3 separate regions of the Mus musculus genome follow, and regions 2 and 3 are each reported to be linked to region 1. The links are microRNA targets in miRTarBase. Many come from high-throughput screens and were not tested one by one. Region 1 holds a microRNA gene; each other region holds the end of a gene's coding sequence.

What was found. The annotated mature microRNA mmu-miR-362-5p reads AAUCCUUGGAACCUAGGUGUGAAU and lies in region 1 at 2,454-2,477, shown strand. An mRNA with a match to its seed (bases 2 to 7 or 8) in the 3' UTR can be bound and repressed. Matches are read on the target gene's strand: a 7mer-m8 pairs with bases 2 to 8, a 7mer-A1 pairs with bases 2 to 7 and ends in A, and an 8mer does both.
Region 2: the mRNA of Gpn1 is a reported target of mmu-miR-362-5p. Seed matches in the 3' UTR shown: 7mer-m8 at 475-481.
Region 3: miRTarBase lists Tapt1 as a target of mmu-miR-362-5p. The part of its 3' UTR that is shown has no 7-base or 8-base seed match.

The regions. Positions count from the first base shown.
Region 1 is chrX:7,239,876-7,244,495 of GRCm38, reverse strand. It overlaps Mir362 (microRNA 362), which reads left to right and starts at 2,450; the gene lies at 2,450-2,514. All of the region lies in intron 2 of Clcn5 (chloride channel, voltage-sensitive 5), which reads left to right. It overlaps Mir501 (microRNA 501), which reads left to right and starts at 3,145; the gene lies at 3,145-3,253.
Region 2 is chr5:31,510,639-31,513,646 of GRCm38, forward strand. It overlaps Gpn1 (GPN-loop GTPase 1), which reads left to right. Exons shown (of 14, transcript NM_133756.5): 14 at 194-2,266. The coding sequence ends at 273. Among named protein-coding and RNA genes, the nearest start is that of Supt7l, 15 kb to the right of the region's middle.
Region 3 is chr5:44,174,283-44,177,290 of GRCm38, reverse strand. It overlaps Tapt1 (transmembrane anterior posterior transformation 1), which reads left to right. Exons shown (of 14, transcript NM_173764.3): 14 at 109-2,132. The coding sequence ends at 338. Among named protein-coding and RNA genes, the nearest start is that of Gm42427, 35 kb to the right of the region's middle.

The sequences.
Region 1 (4,620 bases):
CAGGCATGATGCTGGGGCAAGAGCTGGGAGCTCATATCTTATTGCAAGTTAGAGGCAGAGGCAGGGGAGATATTGATGGAGAGAGAGAGAGAGAGAGAGAGAGAGAGAGAGAGAGAGAGAGAGAGAGAGAGAGAGAAGAGAGAAAGAGAACATGAACACAAACAAGCTTGGGCCTGGCTTGGGGTTTTTGAAAGCTTAATGTCTACCTCTAGTGAGCTGACTCCTCGAACAAGGCCACACCACACCTTCTAATCCTTCCCAAAACAGCTTTACCTACTAGGGACCAAGCACTCCAGTATATGAACCTGTGAGGGCAATTTTTATTAAACCACCATGGGAGTGTATAGTTAAACTAATAAGGATTACTAGGTGATGAAATGTTATGTGACTACTATTGTATATGTAGTTTGTGGCTTACCAAACACCATGTAGTATGTGACTATAGTTCTGATTGTATGATAGTGTGCTGATATGTGGAGCCAGTGGTAAGTTGGGCAGTCCAGTCTTTGTAGCATGTGCATACAGGAGGATGAAAATCATTCTCACTGTGTACGATCACATATACATGCCTGAGAAGCTGCAGGATGCACTTCCTTACTTTAGCCTCCACTTTCTAAGTGTCAAACCTGATTCATCACGTTCTCAGCACACATAGGCAACCTTCAAATGCAGAGGCCCACTGACAGCTTAGCAGGAACAGAGTCCTGCTCCCCTAACCTTGTTCTCTTACACCTCTAAGGAAGGGTAGTGGGCTCTCTTGGTTTTCATCTTTGACGGAGCTGTTATAGGAAGGTATACTTGTTTGTTAACACTGACATTTTTGTAAACACATACCTAGACAGTCATAGATATGCTTTTGCATCAGCTGGGTAGATAGGAGAACAAATATGAATGAAGCCCATCTATAGCTAGGTGTACATCATATATAGGCCCGTGAGCATAGAAGGTTTCTTTTGTTTGATACACTTGTTTTCTCATAGAGAAAAATGCCTTACTGTCATTCATTTATATTCGCTCTCCCCCCTTCTCTACTTCTCCCCTCTCTCCTTACTCCTGACTCTCTTCACTCTCTGTGACATATAGTAGGAAAGTGAAAGATTGAAACTTGTGATTTTGTCTTTCATATCCCTCACAGAAAGGGGTGTGAACTTCGTTGATTTAGGCACATTGAAGAAGAATTACCAGAGAGCCAGTCCTTGCATTGCCTTTTACAGATTCTCCGAGTCACTGATATTCATGCCTCCTTCACCTGGCTTTTGCATATATGAGTATGACCATACTATTGTAAACAGGACATTCATTTAGACACATGTGTACAAAAATGGTAGTGTAAGAGGTAAAAATAATAGCCAGGGGCCAGGTCCTGCATCCTACTCTAGGCTTGCATCTTACCTAATTTTTTTGGTACTCTTTAAAGAGATAGCATTTGTTATTCTCATTTTTTAGAAGTAGTCCATGACCTTGGAGAAAGCAGGTAGATTCTTTAATCCAGTACATGGTGAAGTATAGGTTTGAAACAGGGTTTGTAGATACCAAACTCCACAGTTTCTCTGTCTTATCCATGATGCTGGTAAGGTCCCCAGCATCACCCAGCCCCTTTTAGAAATACAAAATCTTGAGCTCACTAATGAGAAACCTCTGTAAGTTATCTTAGTACCAAGTCCTCCAGGTATCTGAAGTAACTTTAACAAGATGCTGATGTGTGTTAAAGGATGCCAATCTCTACTGCCATCTTGTGAGCTTATGGCCTCTTCTCTCTGTCTCTCTGTCTTTTTTTCTTTCAGTATTTTGTATCTCTGGCTTTATATTTTTATAATCTCAGAACAAAATATGAATGTATATATTTAGACAGGTTTCTCTGTCTCTGTCTGTCTGTCTGTCTGTCTGTCTCTCTGTCTCTGTCTCTCTTTGTCTCTGTGTCTGTCTGTCACTCTGTCTCTCTCTCTCTCTCTCTCTCTCTCTCTCTTTCTGTGTATGTGTGTGGAGGGTGCAGAGGTCAACCTGAGGTGCTTCCCCTTTGGGGACATCTACCCTGTTTTTTGAAACAGTCTCTAATAGGGACTTGGCACTCACCAGTTAGGCCAAGGGATCTAGCTTTCTTTGAGTCCTCACGCTTGGCTCTTTTATGTGGAGGCTGGGAGTTGAACTCAGGTGCCTAGACATACTTAATGTGAAGCTCAAGAACATTGTCTTCTTTCTCATCACAGATAAGCACCTTGTGTCAAAGGTGAGCCCATGCGTTCATTTGCTGTGAGCCTTTTGCCCTGCTTCAGTTCTCTGATCCTTGCTACCTGGGTGAGAGTGTTCTTCAGCAAGGATTCTGAGAGCCAGACCTTTGTGTTTGTAAAGGACAGAGCGCATCTCTCGTTCTCTTTTAGTGTGTTGCACACAAGCATATTGACCACACACAGGAAGGGCAGGTTCCTGAGCCTTCTTGCTTGCTCCCCCTCTCGAATCCTTGGAACCTAGGTGTGAATGCTGCTTCAGTGCAACACACCTGTTCAAGGATTCAAAGAGGCTGAGCCTTGTCTGCGTGTAGAATGGCCCATACTTGCACATCTCACCTGCCACCTTCCCTCCTCCTGGCCACCATTTGATTTTGGTTTTAGCTGTCAGACTTGGTTCTACACATTTTCTAACAGCAAAATGGTCTTTATCATGTTTGGTAGACATGCTTCTATTCTCAGCATGAGCTTTCTTGATTCCCAGTTTGCTAAGTGTCAGATCATGTGATGAGGAGCACACATTAGGTGCTGCTACTCAGGCAACCCGTTTGTTACATCCAGTGATAACCCCTGTTCCACAAAGCTTGAATTGTATAAAGGCATTGGAAAGGAATGGAGTATCCTCCTCCACTGTGCCCTCTTTCAGTATGTATATGCATTCTCAGATCCCAGCCTTCTTGCTACCTTCCAAACATAAATCAGGCCCCCACAAATTCTCAAGTATGATCTGGGAGAGATACCATTTTGTATACGTAGAAGTTTTCTCTGAGAGAGGATGCTCATGGTGGGAAGGGGGCAGATACATATATAAATCAGGGATGTCAAGCTTGGGTATAGGTGGTGATGCTTGGCTGAATCAGGACAAGGAAAATTAAATATTATATACAGAACCACACAAACATGGTACAGGTGCCTGGGCCTTCTGCTCTGCTCATCCTCTCTAATCCTTTGTCCCTGGGTGAAAATGCTATTTGTATGCAATGCACCCGGGCAAGGATTTGGGGAAGGTGAGCCTGATCTGCATGGAGAAGGACAGGAGGTCTGTGCATCATATCTCATCTGTTTGCTGCTTGCATACTTCTTTTATGCCTCCCCCCACCTTCTTTCCTTCTACAAATACAACGGGCATGGTGCATGGGAGAGTAAATGTGACAAATTTGGCCTCTTCCCACCTAGATTTTATAGGTAGAACTTTATTTCCACTTATGACCCTAACAGGTATCAAGAACAAGTGGGGCACATAGTAAACTGTGTATTGACATAAGTGCGCAGCTTTTCATTCTAGTTCTCATACCGACACCTGGAAGAGAAATTCTTCTTTAGTTCAACTCTTGGAGGAATGCACAGGGCAAGAACAGTAAGCCTTCTTGTTGAACCCACATGCCAAGGGCATAGGTGCAGGCTGTGCCTTTCTAGTACTTGCTACTTGGATGAGTGTGCTTTGCGAATGCAATATACCTGGGCAAGGGTTCAGACATTGAGTTATCTTCATGTAGGACCTTTACGCCTCCTTCCACTGTTTCCTGTCTATTTATTCAGTATGGCAGGTACTCAACTAGGGATTTGGTCCACAGGAGTATGAACCACATGTGGTTCAGGGAGCAAATGGTCCAGGGAGAGTGAGCTGTGTCACATCCATTATGCCTGCATGAGTGGACTGTAGACTGGGACTTCATGTACACTGTCCACTTGGATTCTTCCATATTTTAACACAGTCCCATATAAATGCAGTGTATACAGAGGAGAGGATTCACAGACTTGTGCCCACAGAGAGGATTATCTGACCTGATTCATCAGGAACATTAATCCTCAGCACAAGTGCTGTTTTCAATAGTAAGTCCTGTCCAAGGAATCCAAAGGGTGGCACTTCGCCTGCACTTTAAAGGACAGAGCCCCTATATGTCCACACCCCTGTTCCTTTTCCTTCCTTTCACAAATATTCAGGTATGCACTATTTGATACAGCTCTGTTAGTCATAGAGGATGTAGCAGGAAACAAAATGAACAGAGGTGCTACTCTCTTAGGAGACTAATAAACACACTAAGATCCTTGACTATTATAGACTCACCAACTGCTGTTCAAAAGAATGACCTAGGTCTATTGTTCCTTGTTTTCTATTCTGTATGAATGACTCAGTGCAGGGTCTGATAGATGAGATTTCTCAAACTATTCCCCCTCCCATGGCCCTAGATATGCCTAAACACATGGGCCTACGTGGAGAGGAGTCACTCGCTCACAGGAAGAGTGGATATGGAGCCTATTGTGTTGTTCCCTCTCCTCATCCCTTCAGCCCGAAGACCAGTAGACTAAGTGACTTCTTGTCAACTACCATCACTACTCCCATTTGAAGACAGGAGCTTACTGTCTTACTGTGTAGCTCTGTCCCTCAAGCTGA
Region 2 (3,008 bases), not on the chromosome of region 1:
GCCAGCTTGGGATTCATAGCAAGTCCCAGTCTTGAAAAAGTGAAAAATAATTTTAAAATGTATGTCTCTCTTTCTCTCTCTGTCTCTCTCTGTCTCTCTGTCTGTGTGTGTGTGTGTGTGTATGTGTATGACAGGAGCTCTGATTCATTGTCTACTATGAAGGTTTTAAACACAGCACCCTTGTCTCCTGCAGTTACAGAGGAAAGCCGTGAAGAGCCAGCATTTCAGAACTTCATGGAGGAGTCAATGGCACACTGGAAGAGGAACAAGTAGGCCCTCCCACCTGCTGTACAGCTCTGATGTGCTGAGTCTCCATGCAGAGGACATCCTTCCTGTGAACCAGGGCTGCAGTCAAGAGCAGTTTTCTCCCAAATGGTGACTTCTCTGAGGGAAACTGGGCTTAGATGAAGTCTGGTTGAAGGCGGAGCTGGCAGGTGGATGCCCATTCTTGGGTAGCTCCTCCCGATATTTATGCAAGGATGTATTCTCACCGCTCTGGAAGCTGAGAGATAGCTGCTGAGCCTATAACTTCAAGTATCATCGTTTGAACTCAAGTATTTCTGCTGCTGATGGACAGAGAGGACGTCTGTCCCAGAGACGCTTTGGACCTTGACTAGCTGGGTCTGTGGGCACAGCAGGATGGAAAGGAGAGTGTGTGTGTACAGAGGGCAGCACAGTGCCCTGGGCAGCCAGGTCGGATGTGATCTGTGCTCACACGAGGTAGCCCATTTTCAAGAATACTGTTAGGATGGTGACTTGGATAAAGATTTTGACTTTAACTTTGTGGTAAGCTTTCCTGTCATGGTTTGATATTAGAAAGTATGTGATCACTAATAGATTTCCCACTATTAGTTATGACCAAGCCTTAAAGACATGTCTGGTAGGATATAATGCATAGTAGGTTAGTTTCCCATGTCTATCCACCTAACCATGGCCAAAATCATGTCCTTATATTGTACTTAGAACAATACAAAGCATTGTTTGTGACCAGGATTTGGTCCATTCCGTCCATTCAGAGCTAGGATTTGCCCTGGTTCTCAGGAGTGTAGTAAAATCACGAGCCAGGCAGTTCTTATGGATACACCTCCAAATCAGCTTTCCTAGAAACGGGGTCGGGGGTGGGGACGCAGCAGGCTGGCTCATAAGCCTTCCAGGTGACTGCTTTGCTCTTTGCAGAACTGTTTCAGGTCAGCCTGTGACTGAACCCCAGGGCAGGTGACTCAGCCACCCAGTCCTCCTAACGCGCCTTCTCCGGCTTCTTGCCCGGCTTCACATGGTGCCTTCTCTCCAGGGTTACTTCAAAGCAACACAGAATTAAATCTTACCATTAACTATTTAATATTCCATAGCTGGTGGGAAATGCTGATCTAAAGAGCCTCACCTTTTTCTTTTCTTTTTTAAAGACCTTTCTGCCAGGTTTCATGGTGGCTGTCTTTAATCCCAGCATGTGGGAGGCAGAGACAGGTGAGCTCGAGACCTGTCAGGGTGACATACAGAGTGAGACTATGTCTTAAAAAAGAAGACACCTCTGGCTGGGCGTGGTGGCGCACGCCTTTAATCCCAGTACTTGGGAGGCAGAGGCAGGTGGATTTCTGAGTTCAAGGCCAGCCTGGTCTACAAAGTGAGCTCCAGGACAGCCAGGGCTACACAGAGAAACCCTGTCTCGGAAAACCAAAAAAAAAAAAAAATGAAGACACCTCTGCCTCCTGAGTGTGGGACCTATAGGACTGGGCTATCATGCTTGACCTATTCTTTAAGGGGGAACCATACACAGAGCGGAACTGACATGCTCAGCTCTTTTCCGTGGTGCCCTTTCCTTTTCTTTCTTAAAATGTTACCTCTCTCTCTCCTGCTGGCAGCTCTCTAAGGGTCTTGTCTTTACATCACTTGTACAAGACCTAGTATATGATGTGGGGAAACTAATTAATGTTGCAGACTAGAATATCTGGGTAGCTCTTCTGAGCTCTGAGCAAAATGGAGAACTCCCTTTACCAGCAGCCTGTGGAGCCCAACACCCCTACCCCCTCTACTTGGGAAAGGCAACTTCCTCTTTCTGGATAAGAACCCGCCCAAAAGTACCTGGCATTCATGGACTACTTCTCCATACAAATGAGGCATTCACAGTACTTTAAACTCTAGCCAATGATTTTACAATCACCCTGGAAACTCCTTCCCACTCTCCATGGTTCATATATATCCCTTGTCCTTCCTGAATAAAGTCCACAAGCCCACCCCAATAAAGGTGTGTGCACCAGCTGTTTCACCGAAGATTGGCTAAGATTCATTCAGTACTGTCTAAAGAGCTATAAACTAAAATCCCTGGGGAAGCTGCCTCCTCCCTCCACTACACTTCATCCTTTCAGCCTGGTATGCAGCAGTACCTGGACATCCTGAGAGGGAGAAACGGAGGACACATACTACAATATGGAGGTGCTTAATGATTGTTTCCTAAGTGAATTCAGTGTACTAACTGCATCTTGGCCACTTTATGAAAATGAAGATGTGATCTGCCTTATTGGGTTTCTATTTCCGTGTCGAGAGAAACCATGACCACCTCAGCAACTCTTAAAACAGACATGGTGCTGGAGTAGCTGAGAATTCTACATCTTTGTAGCAGGGAAAGAACTGAGACACTAGACCTGGCTTGAGCATATGAGACCTCAAAGCCTGGCCTTCTCCAACAAAACCATGACTACTCTAGCAAGGCCACACCTCCATTCCAGATGAGCCTTGGTCCAGTTTCAAACTACCACAAGATTAAAACAGGATAGATTTAAGAGTGTTAAAGATTAATTTGAGGGGCTGGAGAGATGGCTTAGTGGTTAAGAGCACAGACTGCTCTTCCAGAGGTCCTGAGTTCCAATTCCCAGCAACCACATGGTGGCTCACAACCATCTGTAATGGATCTGCTGTGTCTGAAGACAGCTACAGTGTACTCATATATATAAAATAAATAGGCCTTAAAAAAGATTAATATCAAAAATCCTATTTTAAAATTAAGCTGTAAC
Region 3 (3,008 bases), not on the chromosome of region 1:
TGGTGTATCTAAGAGGAAAGATGACAGATACTTTCCAGTACTCTGAAGACATAAGTAGTTTGATGAGTTTTTGCTGTGACTGAAGAGAAATTATCTCCTTTTCCACAGGCCTTTCCACAGAAGAAAACCTGTCTGCCTCCGTCACCAGCCAGCCTGGTCATCAGAAAGAAAACGTCATACCTTTACTCGTGACTAGCAATTCTGATCAGTTCCTGACAACCCCAGATGGTGATGAGAAGGACATAACACAGGAAAATTCTGAGTTAAAGCACAGATCCTCAAAGAAAGACTTGTTAGAAATAGACAGGTTCACAATTTGCGGGAACCGGATTGACTGAGTTTGTGACTAATGAGATGAAGATGTCAGGCCCCGGGCCACAAATTCTGGGTGCCAGGACACTTGCTAAAAATGGCACTTAAATATTTATTTAAAAACTTAAATTATTAATGGCAAGCAAATCTTAGTATCTTTCTTCCAGTAATGTGGCCTTGCAGAAGGGCAGATCACGGAGCAGCGGTGGCCTCTGGCCCTGACTCTGGATGCTGACACTTGAACACTTCCTCCTGCGTGGCCAACAGCAGTGCTGCTTCCAGCACCTGGCCAAGCACTGCAGAAGCTCCTTTCCTTCGTCAGCCTGGGCTTCCAGATCGTCGGGTTCTCCTCAAGGCCTCTTCAGGATAAGGACACACCTGGGAAACTGTGACGCTTCTACCATGAGTTCCCTTTCCAGCCTCAGACTGTCTCCACACACTCTTTCCAGACTTGACTCCATCTGCCAAAGCATTGACAAGTTGCTACATCTAAGTCCAGATGACGTTCTTACCACCAGAGTCATCCTTGGCAATACATCTGAGCTAGTCAGAACAGAAGGCCACTTAACTACAACGTGGTGAATAGCAGCGTCCTATGAGAAACAGTGAGCTCTTGGCCCAGTCATTTACTTTATAAAGGTCATGTGTCACTGAGAAATGCTTCCTGCTGCCTCGGTTACTCAGGGCAGAGTGTGAGCTGTGTGACACGGGCCCAGTGACAATAAAAGGCACAGAGCAATGTCAACAGAGTAAAAGGCACAAGTGCAGTGTGACCTGGCTTTGCTTTAAGGCTAATTGCTTCATTGGTTATTCCAAGTTAAAGGATTTGGTGTTGAATTGGCGAATAGCCATTGCATAGCTGTTGCTAGTGCCAGGCTCGTTTGTTGGGTTTTGTTTTGGTTTGAGTAACAGTTTTAAAGTATTCCCAGCAGATTGAGCAGTGTCACCTTGCTGGGCTTGTAAAATGCATTTGTCTGCCTGTGGGTCTGTTCTGTGTGGGGAGGAAACCCTCACATGACCGACCGACCGTAAGTAGAGTGTTTGGGACACTGTAACTAGCAACCAAAAGGTGCTCTGGGGTTTTCATCTGAGATAAAGATGTTATTCCTGCTTCATTACTACCTATTAGCATCCCAGGACAAATTCTCGACACCCTACTTTATCTTAAGAGTCTGTTCTGCACTTCTCTTAGACAGAAAGTTGACCATTTCTGATCTGAACTGTCTAAAAGATGGTACTCTTAACTTCATTTCCTATGCTGTCTTCTGAAACTCAGCTCTCATGCAAATATTTGGGCACAGATGGCAAATTTTAAATGGTTTGCTGTATCCTGGATAAGTATAAAACTAGTTTGGATGCTTTGGCTTATGCATTTGAGATTCAGGAGGGTTTCTAATGTTTTGCACTAACAGAATCTAAAGATAGCTGTTGGAGATACTATATATTTATGCCTTGTAAAGCCAGGAAGCAATTTTAAGTTTAAAATGAACATTTTTATTCTTTTGTGTATGTTTTAGTGGGGCCCCACTTTTAAACTATTCTTTTTACCGAAAGAGAGTGTCCATGGAAACCAGGAGCCGTGTGGAAAAAGCTTTGCCAAACGCAGCCCTGGTCAGAACAAGAGCACGACCTAGGTGTATCTTTCTGTTCCGCTTGAGTTTTCTGTTTCCGCGCTGTTCTCTGAAGATTGCATTTCCTTTGCAGATGCTCTTGGGAGTGTGGATGATACTCACTTCTGTCATAATGGCATTCAGTACTAATTTTATAAGTGCATCTTGTGTGAAACTCAATAAATTCAATTTTATAATCTTTTTTAAAAAGGTCACTGAATTTCTTGTGGCAACGATTACTATTATATTTGTTGGAATGGATATCTCATTGAGAGATTTCTTATTTAAGCAGAACTTATTTCTAGTTTACAAATAATAGGGTTGTGTTAAGTATGTTTAGTTACTCTTGCCCTAAATGATAAAAAAAAAATTGCTCTTTTGTCTTTGAAAGAATAGCCTGCATGTTGGTCATAGACCATTTAGTATCTCTTATCACATGACAACATTTGCATTCTATGGTGCATCTTGATGTCACAGTGTCTTCTTGTCATAATATGGGAGTCACAGTCAAGACAATACTTTGGTTTTTAAATAGTCTTAGTATGGTGCACGGTACATCAGACCCATTTTAGCTTTTCCTACAGGTCAAAGTACCAAATGCTATTGATGAATGTATCTTGGCTCCCTGTGGTCTTGTGCCAGCATTTGAAAAAAGTATGCTTGAATCAGCTTCTCAGCATCTGCCTCACCCACTCTGTGCCACCTGCCCTGCCACCTCTGCTAGCTCAGCAGAGATGAGTTCACAAGATTGCCTTAAAGTACTTTATTTTCATATGCCTCAGCTCTAAGTGTTTTTCCCACAGTGATTTCTTAGTTGTTTCCTCTGTCAGGAACTGCCCAGAGCAAGGGATAGCAGGAGACAGCAAGGTCTCTGCCTGCTGGACACAACTGGACATTGGTCGAGTATGTATGGCAGACCAAGGATAGCACAGTTCACGTCGTGGTGTCAGGCTGATCTTTCCCTGTGCTGTGTGCTTAAGGTCATCTGGTAGCAGTTTCCCAGAGCTTTCTAAAAAGGGGTGAAGAGAGAGGAAAAGAATTTTCACCAAATACTGCTAGTTGCCTGCCAGACTCTGGCCTTCCTGC